2 linked regions of the Arabidopsis thaliana genome follow. The protein of the gene in region 1 interacts with the protein of each later gene in a pairwise test. Each region holds a gene or a part of one and is shown in the gene's direction. Other genes may lie near its edges.

Evidence for each region.
Region 2: the proteins of AT5G11070 (region 1) and AT3G13410 interact in a protein complementation assay, tested with the Arabidopsis thaliana proteins (one large-scale study listed by BioGRID).

What each region holds. Positions count from the first base shown.
Region 1 is NC_003076.8:3,512,894-3,524,046, reverse strand, and holds AT5G11070 (uncharacterized protein), read left to right. Parts: upstream 1-7,011; 5' UTR 7,012-7,148; coding exon 7,149-7,607; 3' UTR 7,608-7,955; downstream 7,956-11,153. Other genes in the region: AT5G11080 (Ubiquitin-like superfamily protein), read left to right, coding at 4,598-4,750, 4,832-4,952, 5,041-5,112, 5,190-5,212, 5,308-5,367, 5,456-5,525, 5,600-5,733, 5,823-5,987 and 3 more; KNAT4 (homeobox protein knotted-1-like 4), read right to left, coding at 11,080-11,113.
Region 2 is NC_003074.8:4,357,495-4,370,252, reverse strand, and holds AT3G13410 (2-C-methyl-D-erythritol 4-phosphate cytidylyltransferase), read left to right. Parts: upstream 1-5,936; 5' UTR 5,937-6,115; intron 6,116-6,201; 5' UTR 6,202-6,220; coding exon 6,221-6,342; intron 6,343-6,475; coding exon 6,476-6,578; intron 6,579-6,674; coding exon 6,675-6,734; intron 6,735-6,918; coding exon 6,919-6,981; intron 6,982-7,105; coding exon 7,106-7,306; intron 7,307-7,409; coding exon 7,410-7,521; intron 7,522-7,611; coding exon 7,612-7,823; intron 7,824-8,011; coding exon 8,012-8,104; 3' UTR 8,105-8,618; downstream 8,619-12,758. Other genes in the region: AT3G13430 (RING/U-box superfamily protein), read right to left, coding at 1,552-2,499; AT3G13420 (uncharacterized protein), read right to left, coding at 3,947-4,069, 4,418-4,802, 5,065-5,258, 5,438-5,530; AT3G13403 (Defensin-like (DEFL) family protein), read left to right, coding at 11,427-11,461, 11,578-11,716; AT3G13404 (uncharacterized protein), read left to right, coding at 11,273-11,319, 11,698-11,716.

The sequences.
Region 1 (11,153 bases):
CTAATAAATTAGTGAGCTAAAATCACATATGTCAAACCATTCAAAAGTCTACCAAATAAATATGACTTTATATTGGGTTTATAAAATAATTTTAATAGCAATTTGAAGATTTGTGTCATATTTATTTGGTAGACTTTGAATAGTTTTATAAACATATTTTAAATAATTAAATTTGGTTTATAAAATAAATTTAATAGCAATTTGAAGATTTATGACTTTTAGTAATTTTAGATTTTGTAGTAGATATTAAAAGCTTACATTGATCAAATTTAGCACTCTATTGTTCTTGTTTTTTTTTTGTCTGAAACATGCCTTTGGTCTACGTATATAGTCTCTTAACATCAAATATTAATTACTAATTATTATTTTTTTATAATAAATATCAAAATTAGTTTTTTTTTTTTTTGGGTTCATCAATACTAGTTGCTAATACCCAACAACATCAATATAGAAATCTTATAACATGAAGGTAACATATAAAGTTACATCTATGATCTAACTGACACCATCATTAAAAGTACCTACGTTTGCTGGTTTGTTTCCTTTCAAGATGGTTTAATGCTAGAAGAAGAAATAACAGCTCACTACCAAATAAAAAAGGGCCAAAGAGAGAGGACTTGATATAGCTAGTTTTTTGGAAGGCAATGCCAATCGTTAATTCGTAACACTTTAAGAATTTCGTATTATGATCATAATTAGTCAAGAGTTACTCAACACGTAACACTTAACATATTTCAACAACTTTTCACCTTAAACCTACTGGTGAGTTAGCCAAACTCTTGAATGGGCTTAAAAGCAATGTAACAACAACAACGAATCTAGCATTTGGTATAAAGTTGTTACGGTGGAGGAGATCCATGCAACTGTGTTTCATATTAGACCTAAAGAGTCCCTACAAATTGATGGAACTACTGACTCGAACACTATTCTGATGTATTAGAACATTTATATGCTATCTTAAAGGTATAACAGCTTCTCTGCAGAAGGAATTTGGTGATGAACTCAACCATAGTAATAATATATGTCTTATTCCAATGCGTCCTTAACCGCAAAATACAAAATATGCTTAGACAGATTATTGCCAGTAATAGTTTTGGTGCAGAATATCAATTTTAAGAATTTGATGGATACATTTCAGAGAGTTCTTACCAACTAAACCTTTAAACACGGTTTCTACAGATATTAAACGTTTGACGGTCAGAAACGACCTATATTTTGTCTAATTTGATTAAATATTTAAGAGAGAATTATGATTGAGATTATTAATAAGGTCTGATCTACTCGTTTCACATTTTGTCTAAATTGGTCTTGACAGAATCCATATTTTGTGTGTAATTAATTCTTAGTAGCACCTATCAAACGTTAATACCACTAAAATAGTATTATACCTGATAAAAACTAAAAGAAAGTAAAACTAATATTAGACATTAGTATATGATTAGGTGGGTACGACGATTGTAAACAGTTGATTTAGACGAATCTAGGCAATAAATATAATTGAAAATAGTAGTAGATCACAATGATGCGGGGCACATGGAGGTCGTGTTGGGTAAGTTAGGGACAAAACAGTTATTTTTGTATGGTCGGGACACACAATGTGATAAAGCAATAGGCTACAACACTCACACCACCACGTCCACATTACTACGACACGTATAGATTTATGTCACACGTGTCCAGGCTTCTACTAGCATCATAACAATCCAAGAGCCAAAAGTGTTTAACTGGTGATCCAATGTCTGACACTGGATTTAGAGTGGAAGTTGGATTTATTTAACATGGTCATGGTCATGGCCTGGTCGTGGTCATGTGATTATTCGTTCTTATTACAATCCAAAAGTCCACTAGTAATCATCTGGACTCACCTTTATTTGGTGAAAGTCCCTTCGGGGACATCCGATAAAAAAATTATTCGGTGAAAACAAATATTTGTTCCAAATCTTTTTTTACAAGGAAACTCTTTTACTCTAGTGGCGATAAGATCATAAGAGTAATTTCACACAAAAAAATAGATCAAGAGTAATCTTCTGTATCTATTTTTATCAGCATTTGTTAAGTTGATATCTTTTTTGGCGAGTATAAAGCGTGTTACAATCTTCTTCATTATATGTCCGATATCTCATGCACGATATAAAAAGGTGCTTCGAGAATGTAAAACTGAATAGAGAGGGCTCGATGCCTATGGAGTATAGTAATTGGTAAATAGTAAATTGTAAGGAATATTTAATTTGACTCGAGTTTGAGAATCATATTACAAAGGATATGATGCTTTATTTCTCTCTCTGATATTTTCATTTTATTAAAGTGGTTGTAGCAATGATGTTGTACTAGCATCCAATATTATAATGTACAGATTTCAATAATTATGATATTATGCTGATTTGCCATTTTTTCTTCTTCATTTCGACATCTGTTTGTATATTTGGTTAATCAATAACCATCCACTAAAAGAGACATTTGAATATCTTAGTATTATCTGGTGCACAAAAAAAAATAAAAATCTTAGTATTATCTAAACAATCCAGAAACTAACGATCTTAAAAACCTTATTTACCAAAAATGGTATTCTTTTTTTTTTTTTTTTTTTGGTTGTAAAGGATTCAATCATATCAATATTAACTCTTCTATCTTAAAATTGAAGAAGTATCGTGATTTCTTAGTGTTATCTTAGCTTTAACTTTTAACCGTTTACCTTCATGCAAGTATTGATTTAGCTACTGGTAAGTGGTAACCCGTTGCATCTTATTGTAGTATTGTGTATATATATATATGATCGAAAAACATGACATCCACCGAGAATGCATCCACTCCAGACTTAAACACATGTTACACTAAAATGGTGTTACTCGTAGAAAAACCAAGGAATATAGCTAAAAAGAGTTCACCAGTTCTTTATAGATGAACTTTCTTTTACTATTACTTTTTTTTTCTTCATATTTCTGCTTTACTTTCATTTTATTTAGTGAAATAAGTATAACTATTTTTATTTTATTTAGAAAATTGCTGTTGATTTGAATATCTTTTTATTTTTGATTGTACAATTCGCAGTTTTGCACCGTTTAATACTTTGTAAAAACAACTTTAATCAAAAATAAATGTTAAAACCCCACGAGAAGACTGTTCCTAGAGATATTGTCGTGCCATAGGTTGTAATTGCAACACACACCAACCCACCTATACTCCATAAATTGCATTAATCATTGACTTTTTAAGATATAAAGAGGAAACTGAAATTAAAAGATTCCCGATATAGGGCTCGTAAATGCGACGATATGATATGAATATAGAATCATTATAATTGTCTCAATTTACAGTTTAACGGTTTAGCCAAATAAGAAATTACAGTAATTTTTTTCTTAAATTAAAGTTGCGTTACAAAACTACTGTAATAATTAAACATGATTGACTAATGAGTTTCAAATAGAGAATTGGAGACCATGATGGACATCCCGCCAATAGAAGACCAAGAAACAACAATATTAATTTATAAAATGCACTAAAAACTTGGTTGCATGTTATAGGGAAGAGTTTTAAAACGACGAAAAAATAGTCACCAAAGTTATGGAGAATCATCATCTTCTCCTCAACAATAGGGTCTAGAGCTAAAATCAATAGCAGTTAGGCCTCTGTGTTAAAAAAATGTTTAGAACACTTTCTATGAATAAATATTTTTAAATTGGGTAATGGACCCAGAACCCAAATCTTTTTTGCATACCCTTAAAAACAACGGGCCAGCATGGCCCATATACACAATTTCAATTTTTTTTCCCTCGGAGATTCTGGTAGCCTAAGTCCACTTCTTTCATCATACAAAAGAAAATGAGAATTATACATGATTCTGTGAAACTTCGATTCAAAATTATCGCGTTTTTTTATTCCTTTTCTTTTCAGTTTTAAGAAGAAACACATGGAAACAAAACAAAAAACTTCTATAATTGAAATTTGAAACACACCGTTTATACATGGAAACGTTTAATTTGCTCTACATATGTTCAGGACTTTATGATATAAATATAAATATCAAGGTCTAAAACGAAAAAGCGAAACAAATCAGGGTTATATTTGTTATTTTCCCAAACGTTATAACAGCAATGCATAAAGCTCTGTTTGAATCTGTTATACTGAGAGGTCTCTTGCAGAGGGAAAAAAAACAGAATTGAAAGAAGAAAGAAAGGAATCTTTCTGCAGGATCGTGGATGAGATTCTAGGGTTCAAGCATCACACCGAAATCTGTTCTCCATCTGTACGATTTTCTCAAGTTCTTACTTACTCTTTCGCATTTGGTATCTCTTCCTCCTAATCTCATCGTTCGTCTTCGTGATGCTTTCTTTCGCTCTCCATATTCTAGGGTTTTAGTTAATATCGTTTTCTCTGTTTCTTGATTAAAGTTAGTAGCGAATGGTGAGTTTGCGTGGTGATCAAAGTTTGTATATTGGTGGTGAATGGTGATCGCAGAGTAAGCTTTTCATAATCAGTCACCAAATATGGAGATTCTGATGATAAAAGTTTAGTCTTTGGCTGGTTTGGTTTAGTGTTTTCGTCTCTGATTGGATTTTGTATATTTTGTTCTCAGGTTTTTCAAAAGCTTTTGAAAGGAATGGGAGACACGCACGATTTCACGGATTTGATTAGGATAAAGATTAAGATATTGCATTCTACAACTCACACCTTAAGTGTTGAGAGAACTGTAAGATTGTTCTTTATGGTTAAAAATTGTGTGTTTCCTTGTGTCCTTCTGTATTCCATAATGGTTTCTTGGTTGATCATTAGTTGTGATAACCAATGGCATCATATTTGTTCTGCTATAGACTTATTTCTCTATGGTTTGCAGATACCTGTACGAGATCTGAAGCAGGATATTTGTTACTATTGTGGAGTTTCACCGGAACGACAACCTCGCTTGTTATTCCGGGGAAGAGTTTTGAAGAATGATCAACGCTTATCAGATTATCGTATCCTGCCTTTGTTTTTTTCATCGCATCTCATAATACTTGGTTTCATTTTTCGAATGAATCTTTCTTTAAATGGGTTAAATCTTAGATGTTGAAGAAGGCCACACTCTGTATTTGGTAAAAGGATCACCACCAATTCCACTATTCTCTAGTAATGCAGGTGTATATTCTCTCAATAGTCTCTAAATTAACACTTGGTAAAATACTAATTCTCTAAGTTGGTAAATTCTTTTTCAGCGGCTAATTCAAATCTTGGTCGAGTGAGTTTCTCTTGCTCTCTTTTGTATCTTCTTTGATGTTTAAGGGCCACTTGAGATTCAAGAAGTAAGCATCTATCTCTCCTTTATTTGGCCAGGGGACTCTGACTGACCATTCTTATCAACTGACCGCAAGAGGATATGATACACCATCTGTTGTAAGTCATTGTAAAAGGTTTCTTATATTCTCAGGGTACACACTCTTTAACTTACTCATGAAAATTATATCTATTGGTCATTCTGCAGGTGATTCCAGATTCTATCACAACCTTATCTCGACATCTGGATCGTATAAGACAAGTGTTTGCTACATATGGTTAGACATGGTTTCTATTTAGTTGAAATAAAATCTCTGAATTTCTGTGACATTTTGTATTGTGAATTTTCTAGGTAACAATGATGATAACAACTGGCAAGCTCCTAACCGTTCCAGGGAGGATCTGATCGCAAGAGAATGTCATTGGGGGGAGTTGGCACATACGACAAGGCGATTGTTGATTGGTGAAGTTGCTGAATGTTTATCAGTATGTTGTCTTCTTCTCTTGAATCGAGTTTTTACCACATTCCATTATATGTTTTTTGATTTTGGGATAAAATTGTTTTCATTGTGCAGAATATTTCAATGTTGCTTGTGGATCAAGTAAATGTTACGGACCCATCAGCCCGAAGATTGCGGCAAGAAAGAGTGGTTGAATCAGGAAGCCTCTTGTGTCACTTAGGAAGTTCAATTCTTGCGTTAGGCCATGGCACCTCAAGAATTAGCATGGGAGAAACACAAGTGTGTACATATGTATCTGATTAATATTTTTAAGACGAATTAGCTTGTAGATGCCTTTGCGTTTATGTGTATGTCTACGACTACAATATAACACTTATCCTTTTGTATGTATCTCAGGATGATGTTGGTCGTGCAGTGTTCATATCCCCAACAGGTCAAAATCGGTTACAGGTTTGTTCTGTCTCTTTCTTCATCACCAATTTATGTATCACTCATTGACACATACACATTTTGACCTTTTTCTTCATATAGTCACATCACTCTTGGCTGCAAACAAGTATTAGAGCAGGAAGGAGGATAAGAATTATATCACGTAGGAGATCATCGAGGAATCAACAACATTCCGATCTCTATTTCAATGCATCTGATCAAAATGCAGACAATACCTCCTCTCCTCGACTTACCACAGATGTAACTAATGGAATCATGGTGACATAGTAATACATATACGCAGTATAGTTATAACTTTGTTGCATTTGTGTGTTGGTATCATTTCGCAGGAGGAGCTTTCAGATTCAGACTCAGAACATGAGATGGTAAACATAGTTAGTACTTTAAACCTATACTATAGCAAAGCCAAGAAAGAGATGGTTGGAAGTTTTGGCCTCTGAGACACTATTTTTTGGATGTGGACGACGCAGAGCGAGTGAAACTTGGTGGTGGAGAATGGAAGCAATTAGAGATGCAAAAAGGAGACACTTTTATATTTTTCATTCGGAACTCTATTTGTTTTTCAAATTACAATAGAACAGCAAAAAGTCTTTTTTTTTTTGTTCATAACATAGTAGCAACACCTTTGTTATATACACTTATTTCCAATAAAAATTGATTCTTTTAAAGTTCAAGTCAAAAACAACAAATTTCTCTAGCAGCACTATCATGGTGAAAACTATATATTATACAAGTAGCAATATTTATTATTACAAAACAAAAATAACTTTAGCAAGAAAACGCGGATCAGGCCCAAAAGCCCACGCATTATCCACGGAGTTTTGTTTACTCTCTCTTATCTTCTTCTTTTTTGTTTTCCTATTTATTCTCACCAGACACATTCTCTTTCCCTCACTTGTCTTCTTTTTTCCTAATTCAAGAAACCATATAATCTTTTCCTCTGTATTTTTTTACAAATCCCTCAAAGAAACAAAATTTACAAGATCAAGAATGTATAACGAATGCAGCTCTCCCTCCACCGCAAGATCAACAACGAGAGTCACAAATCACAGAATGAGATCTCCGATCTGTTGTATAGGAGCCAACGCGGTGGTTGAGCCAGAAGCCATGATGATCGGAGGAGAACAAAGAACACCAAGATCTCCTTACGAATGGCTCAAATCTACGGCGCAGGAGCTAGAGTTAAGAGATCGGTGCCGGCGTGTGAAGTCACGTATCAAGGTTACGTGTCGTAACAACAATTGTGCTTATAATAATTGTGTTCATCATCATCATCATAGCCAGAGTTATCCTGGAGATTTCAGTTACGATCCGTTGAGTTACGCGCTCAATTTCGAGGATAATGTGAGAGCTGATGACGATGGTTCTTTTCCTAATTTCACGGCGAGGTTGCCTCAGTCGCCGGTGACCAAGACGAGATCGGCGACGGTTGATTTGATCTCTTTCTGACGGAATAATTAATTACAAAAAGATTCTTTAAAAAAATATCTTTTCGTTTTCTTGTGTGTGACGGTGGAATGTAACTGTTCGCCGGAGAAATGACGTAAGAATATGACGTCAGGTGTATGTAAATGCTCTCTCGCCATATTGATTTGATATACTTGTAAAATTGATGTGTGCAAATAAAAAGCAGAAACATTTTCTATGTTTCTTACAAATTTAATCCATTTCACTTTATGCGCTTTGTTGAATTGTTCATAAACTGTTACGGACAAACCCTAAAATAATGGTGTGGATCTAATAGATGGTTAATCATTGCATATTTGATTCCATCATTTCAAATCTTGATTTGATCTTAGCGTTCATTAATTACCACATTGTATTTAGATGGAACAAGAGATGGTTAGAGTTTTTTATTCATCAAGAACTATAGCAGAGAATGATGAGTGAGGGAGATTTTTGAACTGATGAGGATTAAATCAGTGTTGGTAGAACGGAGTTGAAACGTGAGTCAAGTGAAAAGCTATATATGGGTGAAATAAAGCATTTAAGACTAATTACAGGACAAGAGACGAAAGCTATGAATTAATGTGTCGGCATCATATGAAACTAGCTTGTAGCTAGAAACGTTTGAACTTTATAAAATTTATGATTTATGGATCGTGATCATTGAGACCGTTGAAGCAAGACATTGGTATTTTTTTGGAGCTAAAACACAATTTTTTGGGTATACAACATCAACATATTTATCTTTTTCAAAAAATATAAAAATATTTGTGTAGTCATATTCATATAGTATTAAACTCATGTCGAGAAGAAAAAGGTTTTTATTTGTATAGTATACTTTTAGATAGAACACAGGAACCTGATTCAGCTACTGGAATTATATATGAATATTAATAATTAGAAGAATCAATCTTTACGTTTCGACTAATTATGAATTAGGTTAGGAAAAAAGAACCTTTAGTGTCTGGAAATAGTATTAATCAAAACACAGAGATTCTGGTAAGCTGTCACGGGCATAGTCATACAAAGCTGGTTTAAGATAGTGGATGCCAATTATCGTATTATTTATCCACAACATTTCATTGAAAAAAGAAGTGGAGATACTGAGGATAAGAGTGTGACTGTGTGAAGTGAAGTGAAGTGGGGAAAATTGAAAAAGAAAAGCGAAGCAAAAACGCTTTCTCACATGTTTTGACGTTTGTGTTGTTACATAGTGATACCTACCACTTGCCACCGGTCGACATGTCTCTTTCTCTTCTGATGCCTCAAATCTTGCTCGTTTTGTCTACTATACATTTTTAGTGTATTATACTCTTTTCTACTTTTTCCCTTACAACTATCTCTAGACTTGATCTCCTATCGAGTCACAACATTCAATATCAATCATCGTCATTGATTGTTTCCATTTTAGATATTTGTATCCACCATTAGTCCAGTACATTTTCTATATAAATCCATAGTGTTTCTAATTAACAAATGTATTATGATATGTTTTAAACATATATTTTGTAAATTGTAAAGGTGTAATTTTTTTTTGTCAACTGTAAAGTTTGCTTTATCAAAAAAAAATAATATACTTGCATCGTGTCCCCAACGACGAATATAGATATGCCATAAAAACTAATGAAATCGTGACGTCCTCAACTTGCAATTGTTACCGTACTACATAGATGAATTCCTTCATCGCATATTAAAAAATATCTTAAAATATAATATTAAGATGTAATGTCAAACTTCATTGAACGTTATTTCCTCGTATTGGTGTTCGAGGAAGAGCTTCTTCTCCCATAAATATCCTAATCTTTTAGAGAAACACCAGATGAATCGAATATTTGTATCAATGATTATCCTAATATACTTACATATAAAAAAATCAGAAAATGTTCCTCATAGATTGGCTAACGTGTAACAGAAAGAAGCGCGCGATAAACTAGAGAGAATGTTGAACTTCTTTGTCGTCCTCTCTGTTTATATTCTCTATCTATCCTCCAGTTACCCACTAACACTTTTATTTTGTGTACTTTTTCTGCGTCACTTTCAGATAACGAATCTTTGATATCTTCAGCAATTGTGAATTGATTTTGAAAAGAAAAGTATTATCTATAAGGACAAAAGAGAAGAAGAAGAAGCAAATTGTTTTCGTCGCTGCTGCAACATAACGGATAACACAGAGTCACAGAGAGCTAGCTGTCTTTTATGATTGGGCCAGCTCTAAAATGCTCCTCTCATATGACTGTCTTGTAAGTAGAAGACAAGACCAATCACAAAACCCCACAACGTTCACAATGCCACGTCATGTGCAATCTTATTCTACCTAAAAAGAGACTCTCTCAACTCATACATTATTACCACCACTAATCTAGCTATCTATCTCCATGAAGGATTATAATTGAAGCAAACCTAAATGTGTAAACGGAATTAGAACTAAAGTTATTTATAATCCAATTGATTTTATTATGGTTAAAACAAAACAAAGACCTATGTTTTACTGTAGTCGAATCAAACCAATCCAAAGAAATCGCATTTACTTAAGTTTTACATTGTTAACTAATAACTCGGTCTTAATTGGAAAAACTAAATTTTAACTAAAAATAAAAACAAACTTCTAAAACTATAACTTTTTCATGATCTTATATGGCTATGAGGTATGAACCATTATGTTAATGATTTGTGCTAGTATTGTTGTTAATTATTTCACCAACTTGATTATAAAAAAGAACAAAAAAAAATCTGATTATAGTATGGATAGAAATGGTAGGTCATCACTCAGGTTCAAAACCCTTGCAAGCCAGTTTGTTGATAAAAATGAAAAGTGTTAATCGGCATCCTTAGAAACAAGAGGACTATGTATGAAACGTCGGCGAGCAAACCCTGTAAGGTAGAGAGTCTAGAGACAATGAGGCCCATAATGGACAATAAAGAAAACGCAGGAAAGGGGCCCAAATTGAAAAACTTTATAATCCCTTTTAATAATTTTGACAACGGCGGAGATAATCTCTTTCTTTCGTTTGCTGGCGACCTTCGCAGAGTTTAGATTTTGGCATTAGGGTTAACAATTCCACATAAAAAGTGGTTCCACTCACAAAACAAAACAAAAAAATTGAAACCATTAATTGAGATAATATATTCAAGCTAAATTAATATGTATATTTGTGTAGATTACGGCCAATGATTGCACAAATTAAATGCATAACGAGAAATTTCCATGTTATTCACAAGATATAATGATGGATTGATGGTGGAGAATGGAGATGGCAGTGAAGACTGACGATCCTATCATAAAGTCCATCTAAAACCTCATATTACAAATCATGCTTTGGGGTTTAATTTTGTGTGGCCCTAATCATTACCAAATATGAAAGCCATACCATGTACTGGCACAAAATTACGTCCTACGTTTGTTGTGTAAGAATTCTTTGTCTTCATGCCTCCACCTTTCTATAAAGCTTTTGGATCTCTACATGCAAGCTTGATCTCAACGGTCTCTTCCGCTGTTTTCACCTGCATTGCTTCATAAAGAAAACCCTCCAAATTTAATGACTCCATATA
Region 2 (12,758 bases), on another chromosome or scaffold:
AATATGCTTGTATAAGTACATTAGGAAAAGGTCAAATATAATATGCTTGTATACGGATTCATTTCTTGGTCTTTTTGATTCAAACAAACGAACATATTATCACACACAAGAGAAAGAATTACAAATTTTATCTACAAGTCAAGAGTCAAGACTTTATAAATATGAAAATTTGGTATCGATAGGATCTTATTTGCTTTTAAGAACATGAACATCGTTATCTTTATTGAGTTAAGGCATATATACATACATACAAAATAAACTGGTTCGTTGTCAATTTCTAAGAAAAGGAAGGATATTGATGTTTGTACACATTCAAAACCAGTTTTTCTAACCGCCATTGCCTCGCGGTGGCGGCTTTTTACAAGATCCACCAGCCCTACATCCGTGTGCTGGTGGCGAGTCACTATGAGGTGTTCCAATCTTCATTGACATTCTTAAATCTTCTTCTAGACATTTTAGGTAACTTCTTAGTATAGATATCGATAATACACAACTTTGTCGATTAATGCAAAACATGAATCAATTAAATATGCGAATCATAAATTAAAATAAAGGGATGATTCATCCCGGATGAACATGAATTTATGTAATAACCGTAATACCAATTTCATGTAAAGAAGTGGAATAAAAAACTGCATTTCTGTAAACTTGCGTTATCGAGAAAACAATTCCAAACTATGGAACATTCTGCCATTTCAGAAATTGCAGAACCATTCTGTCATTCTTCACGCGGTAACACTCTGAAAATTTTGTGTGCGTGTTGATGCCTTTGTATCGTGGTATGTCATATGCTACAACTTAACAAGATTTTATGTACATACGTATAGATCAAATGCTAGTTATGAGTGGGTAAGAGTGTACGTATACTACATTATATTTCATAACATCATAAATAAAAACACTCACTAAGTTTACGAAATTTGTATGGTTGAGCTGAGACCGCCTTCGATGAAATCACCAAAGAGAGAACCAAAAGGGAACCGATCAACCACAACTTCCTTTTCATTTCTTTTCAAACTTAAGTTGAATATTTCTTTGATGGTACGGTATACAGCTCTAAACTTACGTGTATTTATATCAAATCAAACATACGACTAAGGTTCATTATATATATTCTTTTACTTCGTAGACATTTTCCTTGCAATGTAATCTATTTTTAAAACAATTCTAAGGTTTCCAAATTACCGCGTGAAGAAATTTGAAACATTCGTAATAGAGTTACGTAATTAACTAATTATAATACACATAAGACAGGATCAAGTCTTCTGCACAAAGAAGATTGGGATGACTGCACAAATTATTACATTTTTTTCTGTTTGAATTCTGGTCACTATAGTTGTAACTAATCGGAACAAATTGAAGCAAACCAGAAAGAAAATGTAAAGTCAAAAAAAAAAAAAGACTGTTAATTAATTCCAAAGAATACATTTTCCACCAAATCTGAGAAACTATGTGCAAACCAAATAACATTAAACACTAAAGACTGATCTCAAACGATCCCATCAGTTCTCCTCTGTTCAAGTAAACCTGTCTCAGATAGTGAGCCTTAGTTTAGTTAACCGATGAATTGTTCGAACTTGAGTCTGGTGATGATCCATTACTAGCCATAGAAGCATTACTGATATCTTCATTGTTATCATCGTTTCTCGATGTTTCTGCATCAGTCTTTGGCTCATCATCATCTCCTGTAGGAAGCAGATATCTGCAAACAGGGCATGAGCTATGAAGCTCAAGCCATGGCAACAAGCAGTCACTATGAAACTTATGCTTACACGGCATCTCTTTAGCCTCCATTCCAATCTCAAAATCATCCAAACACACACTACACTGCAACAAACTATCTTCGATTTTCACCATCGCCAATGCCTCAACCGCTTCTTTTGTAGCTGGAGGTGTCCCATACCTGTTGTTCAGATCATTCTCAGCCAAACGCTGAAGCAACGTCTCGAATCCAGGTCCAATGAAATAGTCACCCAAAGATCCAGAAGGAACAGAAGTGGTGTCTACAGAATCTTGATGAACCCTGATCCTTTGGTTAAATGAGTTGATCAAGACGACAAGCTCGCTATTATCGGGATTATCCTCGTTGTTCTCGGATTCGATCAATAATCCAGCTCGAATCCCCTGAAGCAGATTAACAATAGCAGTTGAATGTCTAGTCCTTATCCTCCTAATCTCTTCAAGTTGATGAGTTATATCAATTTCTCCATCATTGTTCTGATCACCATCATCACCATCATCTTCGTCTTCGTCTTCATCTTCAAGAATAGATTCTGAGTCTTCCTGATTGGTAGAATGTTGGTCGTGATTGTTGTTCATCATCTCCATCAAGATAGGAGTCCAGAGAGAATCAGCAGCCTGATGGTCATCATTATTATCCATTTCTTCAACAAAACCACTTTGACAGAAATTGCATTTGATGATTTCGTCTTGAATCAATGGAATCACCGATCGGGAGCACATGTGACACCAGTAGCTAGTCTCTGATGCATCTTCCATAGTTCAATCCTTCCTTGTTCAAACTCTCTCTGCTTCATAGCCAAATAAAACACTGAGATTTAAACCAAAGGTTTCTTCTTACGAAATGCAGAAACGATATCGAACCCTAGCATCAGAGACTTGATCAAACCAAACCAACCAGAGATAATAAAAACAGAGAAATCAAAATCAAATCACGAATCATTTTACTAATCAAAACTCAATCACGGAAGATTTGTAGAGATTAGAGATTTCAAACGAGAAAATTCAAACAACAAAAAACCTAGAAATCAAAAACATCACAAACCTCTTTAATAGGAGAATCGGGGAACACGGTTTATTAACTTACCTCTTGAAAATCAAATCAACGAAAAGTCCGAAGAATATCCAAAAGGAACAAATAGTAGACGAAGAAAACAGTCGAGCGACAAAGGACCAAAAATTCAGCAGAAAGGGATCATCGCCGAGAGGAATATTTTGTGGGTAAGTGTCTGAAAACGGCTGGAGATCCACGCAGACTTTTTTGAGTCTTTGACCCCTTTTTCAAAATTATTAATCTAATCAAATCTCATCTTAATAATAGTCAGACCGACGTGGATAAGTAAGTTATACCAATTTTTATAGGTCAAAGAATTAATTTGCACGAAACTCCTTGGCTACTATTAGGCCCAATTAATTAATTAGTACCGCAACTTCGCAATTCACATGGGCCGGTGGTTCAACATTAGGCCCCATGCCACGCCATATTCATCATTCATTTAATCATATGAGTTGGAGAACTCGAGTCAAATAGAGAGACTAAAATGGCTGGAATCTGGCACCAAGTTAGTCTCCTCAAGTTGTCATTAGATCTTATAAAATGATAACATTATGTTTATATCTGTTTCTTCTATTCTCTTACGGATATTACAAAGAATATTTCCCCATAGGCAAATCATGTTGCTACTTTAAAAATCTGCAATAAAAACTTCACTGTTTACCAAACATTTTGGATGAAAAAACTATCTTTGAAGTTTATACTAACCCTCCGATTCACCTATTTTTCATGTACAGAAAAGAATGCTAATGTACATTCGTAGTCCAAATAACCCCAATTCTATACAGTTCCGAGTAAAATGAATGATGATAAAGGCATTGTTCTTGCTTGTTATCCACTATGTAAATCTCGGATCTGGATTCTTCAAATTGAAAACAAAGAATGGCCTTAGAATTGTTGAATGAAGTTGCTCGTGACAAAAGCTATCTTCCTGCAAAAGTGAGTTGGAAACTGCCAGGCAAAAATGATAAAAGCTGAGAGCAGTGCTGCAAGTAGTAATGTAGATTGACAAACACATGCAATTTACTGAGTCCAAGGATATACCAAAGCAACAAGTGTTCTTTCTATGTCTATAAAAAGGTCAAGTGTGAAAGTTAACCTAACCAAAAGCAAGGTATAGTATAGTACCGTCCACAATCATTAGATGTTCTATCAACAGAGACTAGAATGAAGTGCTTCTAAGGATCTGGATAGAGGAGACTTCTTTCGAGAGGCTTCTGCAGCAGATGATTGGGATCCTTTGTAAATGTCTCCAGCTGAATGGTGCTTAATCACCTACAAAAGGTTGAAAACCCACTTGCTATGTCTGTGTAAGTTTTAGAGGAGTACTGAGACAAGAAAAGCAGCATACTATGATGTAATATCAATACTATGTGGCCTTTGTTTGTTAGTGAGAAACAAGTTTCACCTAACCTAGAGTGGCAAAGAGCTAAAAAGCATGGTTGGGTGATCTAGATAGTTCAATCCAATTCTCACTATATTGCATACAGTTTCAAAAGAAAGGTCCGAAAAGAAGCATCTGGAAACCCAATTGGTAAAACCATAGACAAACCAAGTATAAAAACCTCAACTACAATGAGTACACAAACAACTTAAGAGAAGAATAGGTAGAAATAAAAAGACCTGTGTTGCATTGGGCAAAGTGATATTGCTTAGGCCGCCATCTAACAGAGGAGTGTAGGAGGCAGGTTCGTCAATAGAATCTTCCAAGATTTCGTCAGAACGTGAACGTTGCTTAGCTATAGCAGGAGCCTGTAAGAAGCTATTTCGTAATTCTGGATCACGTGAACGTTGCCTAGCTAAAAGAGGAGGTTCTAAGAAGCTATTCCGTAAATCTGAATCTGATTGACGGGGAAATGGAGAGTCTATAATAGAAGCTCCCAGCCTATAGATCTGAAACCATAACAGAGAGGACGATAGCCTCACAACGAACCCAGCAATTTCCATAGCCAGGGTGAGTTTCACAGAGAAGATGTAAAAGACTTGATACATATCAGATGAAATGTTCCTGCATTAACAATTAAATCTTTTGTCAGTTATAGGCAGCAGATGAATACTGGCTCAACAGAATCTAAACACGACATAGCAAAGATTTGCAAAAAAAAAGGTTTAAAGATCAATCAGTTCAAAAAGATGATGAGCCAATCAAGAGAAATTCAGGACAGTTTACAATATGTGATGCAATGAAAATTAAACAAGACAGAGCAAACTCTTAAACCAAATATTTGATCATGATCACAAGCACGGCTGTTCCAAGGATAGTGACATACCAAATCTCTTTGGAGAAGAGAATGAACCATGAGACATCAAGAAGAATGGCGCAGAAAAGAAGAACCGCATAGGTTCTGCCAAGACTTTGGCTATTACTCTCGATTGCTACTAACCCAAATAACGCAATCGCCAAATTTATCAGCACGACTCCATTGTACAATGCCCCTAGTGAACCGATCAACGCGCACCCTATCTGAAACAAATGATTCATCAATATGAGTTTCTTGCACTTCTAACCACAATTAAAAGAATAACAAACAAATATCGACAGAGAAATCGTAGAACCCTAATCCCAAACAGATACGAACAATTCACGAGAAAAAACGTGAAATCGGAGGAAATGAAACAACTACAAAGCGATTACGGATTTACCTGAGCATAGATAAGAATCAAAACGACAGATTGGAGCCTAACGTAGTCGCGAAGCCAATTATGTATTCGATTTCGTAACGAAACACAAAGCATCGTAAAATCTCAACCTCGCAGCTCTCGTTACTTGTTACTTCAATGGACTTTCATAATACAAAATGGCTCGACGATTCTGATGCTAAATTGCAATTTTCCGGCGAACGAAATCGGTGAATCAAGAGAGAACGACGATTTGAGAATTTTCGTGAGGGAGAAAGTAAAGAGTGTCTTTGGCGGGATCGCGTTGCAGAAGAGGCAACAAAATAAAAAAATGAGGAAACGAAATATTCCGTTCAATCGTGACGAAGTTATTATAAGATTTAAGGAGGTTTCCGTTTCTTGTCCAGAGTGACGGACGCTTAACGGAGTCACGAAATTTTGGGCCGTATTGGAAAATCTTTAAAAGCCTAATCAAGCCCAAAACTTCAGACCGGTTAATATCTGAACATAACCGAAACCGGTTATCTCGGTTAGCGATTTTCGTTTCAAAAACGACGCCGTTAATTCCTTACATGTCGACTACTCATATGTGTCGCCCAGATTTGAAGATCGGAGATATGAATCTCTTCTTTCTCTGGATTTGAAAGTTCGATAAAAATCTACTGATACATCGACTTCTGGAAGCGATCTCGATCTCTCTAGGTTTGTGATTATCTTTGAATTTGCTGATTGTTTCGTTAGGCGTGAGGAATTGTTCGATTGATTTTTTTTCCTTTTGTCTCCGGTAGAATTGTTTCGACGACGAAGATGAAGAAGATTCAAATTGGTGCGGTGGCGCTATTGGTGTTTCTATCTGTGGCCTCTCTCTTTGAAATCGGATTGGCTTCTCCGAACACAGTTCCTGCTTTCCTCTGGTCTCCGCATCTCCAGTTATGCATCTTGTTTTCTCTATAATTCTCAATTTGATTGATGGAAATGTGTAAAAAGCCTGGGACTTGTGATATCTGATGTGAGTTAGCTTAGATTACTGGGTTGATTGGTTTATGTGATTCTGAAAATCAGGTCTGCTAATGGTGAATTGGATGAGGCTGTAAATTATCAGGTCATGTCTGCAAAGGATCTAGTTGGTTCTGTTTTCACTCAAGGAGGTTGGTCAAACTTTCTGGTATGGTTTCTTCTTCATGATCTTATGATTTCAATTCTACAACTCACTGGATGTCAAATGATTTTTCTTATTGTCATTACTGTCTCCTTTGTTTAGTGCTCAGAGAAGAAGCTTGAGCAACCTGTTGATGTTGCACTTGTGTTCATAGGCAGAGAGGTAATTGAATGATGTAGTATTGTTGTTTTAACATTAGCATAAATGACCTTGTGGATCTTTGGTTTCTTGTTGTGATATTGTAAAGAAACTGATGTTTTAATATTGCGGGAAATTAATCGTCTTTGCTCTGTATCTTCTGTGTTATGCTGAGAATTCTAATATTCACGTTCTCTTCCGCCTGCAGTTACTGTCTTCTGATGTTTCTTCAAAAAGGAACTCAGATCCTGCCCTTGTTAACACATTGAATGTAAGTGCAAATTTTCTTTTCTTCAACAAGAAATTTCGAAATTGCATCCGTAACACAGATCTCTGACATAGTTGTTTGATATAAAGTTTACAATACTCTAACATCCAAGTCTTTGTTTCAACAGAATCTATTTACAGCTTCCAACTTCTCATTGGCATTCCCATATATTGCTGCTCCAGAGGAAGAAAGGATGGAGAATTTGTTACTTTCAGGGCTTAAAGAAGCTTGTCCCAACAATGTAGGAGTCAGCAATATCGTGTTCTCAGATTCGTGCTTTGTTGAGGATGGAACAATTCAGAAACTTTCAGACTTGCAGTCTTTCAAAGTAATACTCATTGCTCTTAAGTTTTTATTTTCCCTAATCCCATGCCTTCCCAGTGTTATCACCCCCTTAACTTCACTTTCTAATACTCATTAATAATTGACAGGATCATTTGCTTGCTAGAAGAGAAACAAGGAAAGAAGGAGAAACTGACTTGGTTGTGCTCTGTTCCGAGGGTTCTGAATCGAATAGTCAAGCTGGACAGTCACATTCAGAGCGTAAGTGGAAAGATCATTACAAAATAATACTAACAATTAGATATCATTTGAGAACTAGGAAATTAAGCAATTCTTTGACCTATTCTGCAGGTGAAAGCTTCTTGGAACTTGTTAGTTCTGTAGAACAATCCGGCAGTAAATATACAGCTCTTTATGTTTCTGATCCTTATTGGTACACATCTTACAAAACTCTCCAAAGGTTTCTAGCTGAAACTGCTAAAGGAAACAGTACTCCTGAAATTGCTACTGGCTGTGATGAACTCTGCAAATTTAAGTCATCACTTTTGGAGGGCATACTAGTGGTAATTACTCTTTTTACTCGTGTTTTTTTGGTATTCATCGTTCTCAAGAAAGATTCATAAACATCATAGAATGGACAAGTTTAATGAGCATCTTGGTCATATCTAGCTGGAAGATAATTTAATTCAATGTGTTAAAATTTCGTAAAAGCCTTTGATTATGTCTCGTCCTTTTCTTTTTCTTTTTGCAGGGAATCGTTTTTCTTCTCATCTTGATCAGTGGACTTTGCTGTATGGCGGGTATCGATACACCGACTAGATTCGAGACTCCTCAAGATTCTTAAGCTGTTGACCTTAAGAGCCATCCCCACCTTTTGCTTTGCTTTTGACGAGTCTTTTCTTGTGCATAGTGCGCATTGTGGAAGGTACTTCAATGTCGATTTGTTACATTATTACTTCAAAACAAAATCTGCATATGCCATAAAATCCCCTTGTATCATTTATTCATCTTGTTTGTGAGTCTTTCTTAAACGTCATAAATTAATAATGGAGAACGAGTAAAAAACCAGAGATACATACACTGGAGAACGGATTACATTCTTTTTCAGAATTTTTTTTGTTTCTTTTTCTTAGATTATATTCCGGAGTTATCGTGCTCATAGTATCGTATTCATATCAATTTGGGGATTCGGACATAGATTTTCTGGAAGAAAAAAACTCAGGACAATAATGTCGGTAGAGTCAGAGTGGTAGGACATGTGTGTGTACCATCACTTGTATAGATAGATAGAAAGATAGATATAGATGATAGTTTTGTGAACAATTAAGAAAATAGTAAGAATACATATATAAGTTTTGTCATGCAACATGCAATTCTAATCCAAATTTAATGTTTGCCTCGGCATGTTTAGTCATTATTAAGTAATATCGATTGAGCAATTAGCAGTTTATAATTTATCTAGATAGACCTTTTGTTTTGACTATTTCGTTGATTTGTTCCATGATTCAATACTTAGCAAAACATCTTCATATGTTGGGGTCCTTATGGTCCCTGCATGGACCTATTGACAAAGTCATAAGATCAATCTTTCAGATTCTTTGATTGACCTCTCTCTCTCCATAAAGAAGCGTATAAAGAATCAAAATGACCGAAAACGATGGTTCTATTCATCTTTTCCCCACTATACATACTCCTACATTTATTCTAACATAACACTATTCGTATCCCTGTTTTTTTCAAAGTTTATACTATAACAAATACATGACTGTATTTGTCTAATTACGAAGAAGTTTCAAAAGCATCATTTATGAACAATGTTTATCTTTTTTTTTCTTACACAAACATTTATAAAAAATCATGTCACCATGACATGTAGCTTAGTTTTATACTAGCGATATTTTTGTGTCATCGTCCGAATTAGAATTTGCATATAATGCATATTATCGATAGAATTTATACGACTTTGTTTTCTATACTGCCACATAATTGAAATTTAAAGATTAGAAATATTACGTATAGGTTTTTTATTGAAAAAAATATTTTCAGTTTCGCACAAAAATATATGTAAAAAACAAATAGAGGGAAGCACATGAGACATAGGGGTTTGAGCCAAAAGAGCAGTGAAAATCCCATCGATCTGCCACTCCACCAACTGACATCACATTGTACCCATTTTCTTCTTCTTTTCCTCAACTATCCATTTTTCTTGTTTAGACAGACACCCCCGCAAATATTTATTACCTGAACTATAACAACAACCAAATTTTGAAATATAAAGAACAATGTTGAACTAACAAATTTGCTTCATCTTTTATTTGCTTTAGCTTTCATACGTAAAATCTCTTGTGGCGTTCACTTCAAATTTTATAAAAAAAAAAAAAAAATTATCTTCTGTTTAACAACATATGACATCTTAAATTGATATTTTAATAATAATGAAAAACTATAAAAATGTACGGCCACGCAAAAGTGACCTACTCGAGCAGGTCCTTTTTTGATCTTTTCGATAACTTTGAGATTCCAAGTGCTGATTTCTGTGAATTTTTGTATATATATACACACATATTTTTGTCAAAGAAACAATATATATATATATATATATATATATGTATATAACTGACGGTCTCTATTTACCGATTACTTGTTTATAAATTAACTTATACGGAGTATAAAATATAGATGTTTATTTAATAGTGCCCTTTCGAGTACCTGTCGGGATAACTAGCTAGGGTTACACGTAAATGTTGAGATTCTTTCTTCTTTTAAAAATGTTTACGAGAGTCCCTTTTTCTCTCTTTCTACACACATTTATTTCTCTCGTGAGTTATTTCTTAGTAAGTCCTAAAATTAGAAACTTATAGTTCCTATCAACTTACCAAAACCAGGTCGATTTTGTGCAAGTGCGTCTTGTTTCTCAAACCACGTCCCTCGTCTTAAATTTTTATTGCATATGCTTGTCTTTGCTCAAACAGAATCTATTTACCTAGGTCGTTAACCAAAACCTTTTTGAGCTTGTTAATTAGAAACTTGAAATTTTCAAATATGTTAATATTAAGGTTCTTTGATGATTTATTAATTTAGAGAGCATTTAAATATAGGAGATTTTGTTTAAACGTTTTATCAAATTTCACATTTTTGGTCAAAGGAAAAGAAGGTTAAACACAATTCAAGAAAACAATAAGATGACAATTTTCGTTATAGACAGGAGCAATTTATGTGTCTATGTGAAGATGTATGTGTATATATGTATATGAATGAGTAGATATGTATATGGCCCCATATCTCTTAATGGCATCTGTTAAAGCTGTAAAGGTTTTTGCAGCTTAAGAAAACTAATATTATGAGGATGGAGAAGCATGGAGGAACCTTATCTCTTTCATTAATTCTTTTTATTTTTCGAATATATATAATTCTTTAATATATGACAACTGTTTTATATTTCTTTCAAATTAATTTAGGTTTTTCTTTCCTTATCTTTTTTTATTATATTTTTTTGCTTATCTACCTTCTTGGGGGCATAAAATCTCAAATCTTTCTCTCTTTTCAATTCAATTATTTTATTCCCTCTTATTTCTCTTATCTCTGACCCATCTTCTATATAAACCCAGAGCGGGTAAGTCCTCTAGTATTCATAAGCACCAAAACAAATATGTAGAGATCTCCTCTTCCATTCTCTATTGTTACTTTCGAGAAGAAACATACAAAACACATACATTTTTCTTTTGTTTGTGGTTTTCATATATACAAGTGGGTATAGCTAGTGAAACGCGAATGTGACGAAAGTAGTGTGCAGCCAAGGATGACTTGCCGATTTAAATGATCTTTCTTTATACTCTATTAAGACAATTTAGTTTCAAACTTTTTTTTTTTTTTTTTTTTGAAGGATTCAGGAAGAAATTAGGATATATTATTCCGTATAAAATACAAGATATATAAAACCAAAAAGAAAAAGTAACATGATCGGCAAGTTGTCCTTGGCTACACGTTACTTTGTGTCGCGCATAGGTGTTATATGGTAAAGATCGCAAGAACTCAAGCTAAGGAACAATGCAGAAAGAGGTAACTAATTTTAAACGGTTTATAAAAAAAGAAATTCCTTGAAAAATATGTACAACCAAAATTAATTCCTCTAAATATTGAATAAAAGCTTTGTAGAACAAATTAAAATGCTCAGATTTGTTTTGGTCTATATCCCTGTTTCGTTATAGTTTTCTTTAGTATACAGTAGAAGGATCGTCTTACATCATAAAAGTCCAGACTAATTTCAGCTGGAACAGCAAGATCTTGATGAATTTCACTGGTGAATACTGATTAAAGGGTTGTATCACACACACTTTGCATATCTCTATTCATTATCTGCTCAACACGTCACACGTGCTTCTCAAAAAGATATACATGTTTGTTGAACATTTGTTTTTGTTTTTTTATTTCCTCCAGAATTAGAAACTATTTCTAAAACTGCTGCCAACCATGAGACGAGGTAATAAATAAATAAAATTTGGGCGGCCAAGCCAAGCCATATATGCGGCAGAGTCGAACTCTCGGGTGAAAAGAGACGGTCGCAGGTGGAACGCAATTAGGCTAGAGGTGCTTCTCGGTAATTCATAAGTTTTACTCACACCAAACCAATTTGGTAGACAAAGGGACTAGGGTTACTTGGATGTATAGCTTTTTGGAAAGTTTTTTTTTTTTGCCAAAATCATGTGGTAGTATTAATATTTTTCCATGTATGATTTAAATAAAGACTGTGAATATGAAATAGTGTACTAGTATGAAAAGAAATTCAGGTAAGTTAGTTTGTTTTTTTAATCTCGACTAAATAGAACTACTAGCTTCTTTACAAAAAATTTCATGTGCTGTTAAGTACTAAATAAAATGGTAAAATTTGGCTATATCATCCATATAAATGTTCAAAAATTATATTATTAATATCTCTACTAAATTAAAACATTTAAGAAAAAAAGACGTAACTTGTTGGAATCGCATCGTCACAACACGCGCGCGTGAACTTTCTTTTCACATTCTCATCGGTTGCTCTGTTTGACTTTGACCTCAAGCGTCAACCGGTTTTGCTCTCAGATTACGATGAATAGAGCTAGTGTACATGTCACGCTTGCTTGCGGTGGAATTTAACCTTTCAGGTGATTTAGGGTTTTATTTCGATCTAGGTTTCGTTTCTGTTTTCTCTGAGTTCCGATTTAGGGTTAAGTTATTCCTAGTCCGTATATCAAACTTCGCTTCCTCTCTGCTTCGAAACAAAAATCAAGCTGTGAAATTAATCGGTTGTGCATGAAATACATAATTTGAATCTCTTATTCTCTATCTCTAGTGTTGCTTCTTCGAAATATTTCTTCTTCTTCTTCTTCTGATTTTCAGATTTACTCATCGATATGATCGAGGAGACTCATAACAAATTATCCTTCTACTTAATTTCTTGAGATTAATTTCAGATGACTCCTATCCTCTCTGGATTGAACAATGACAGTCTCTTGTGTAGG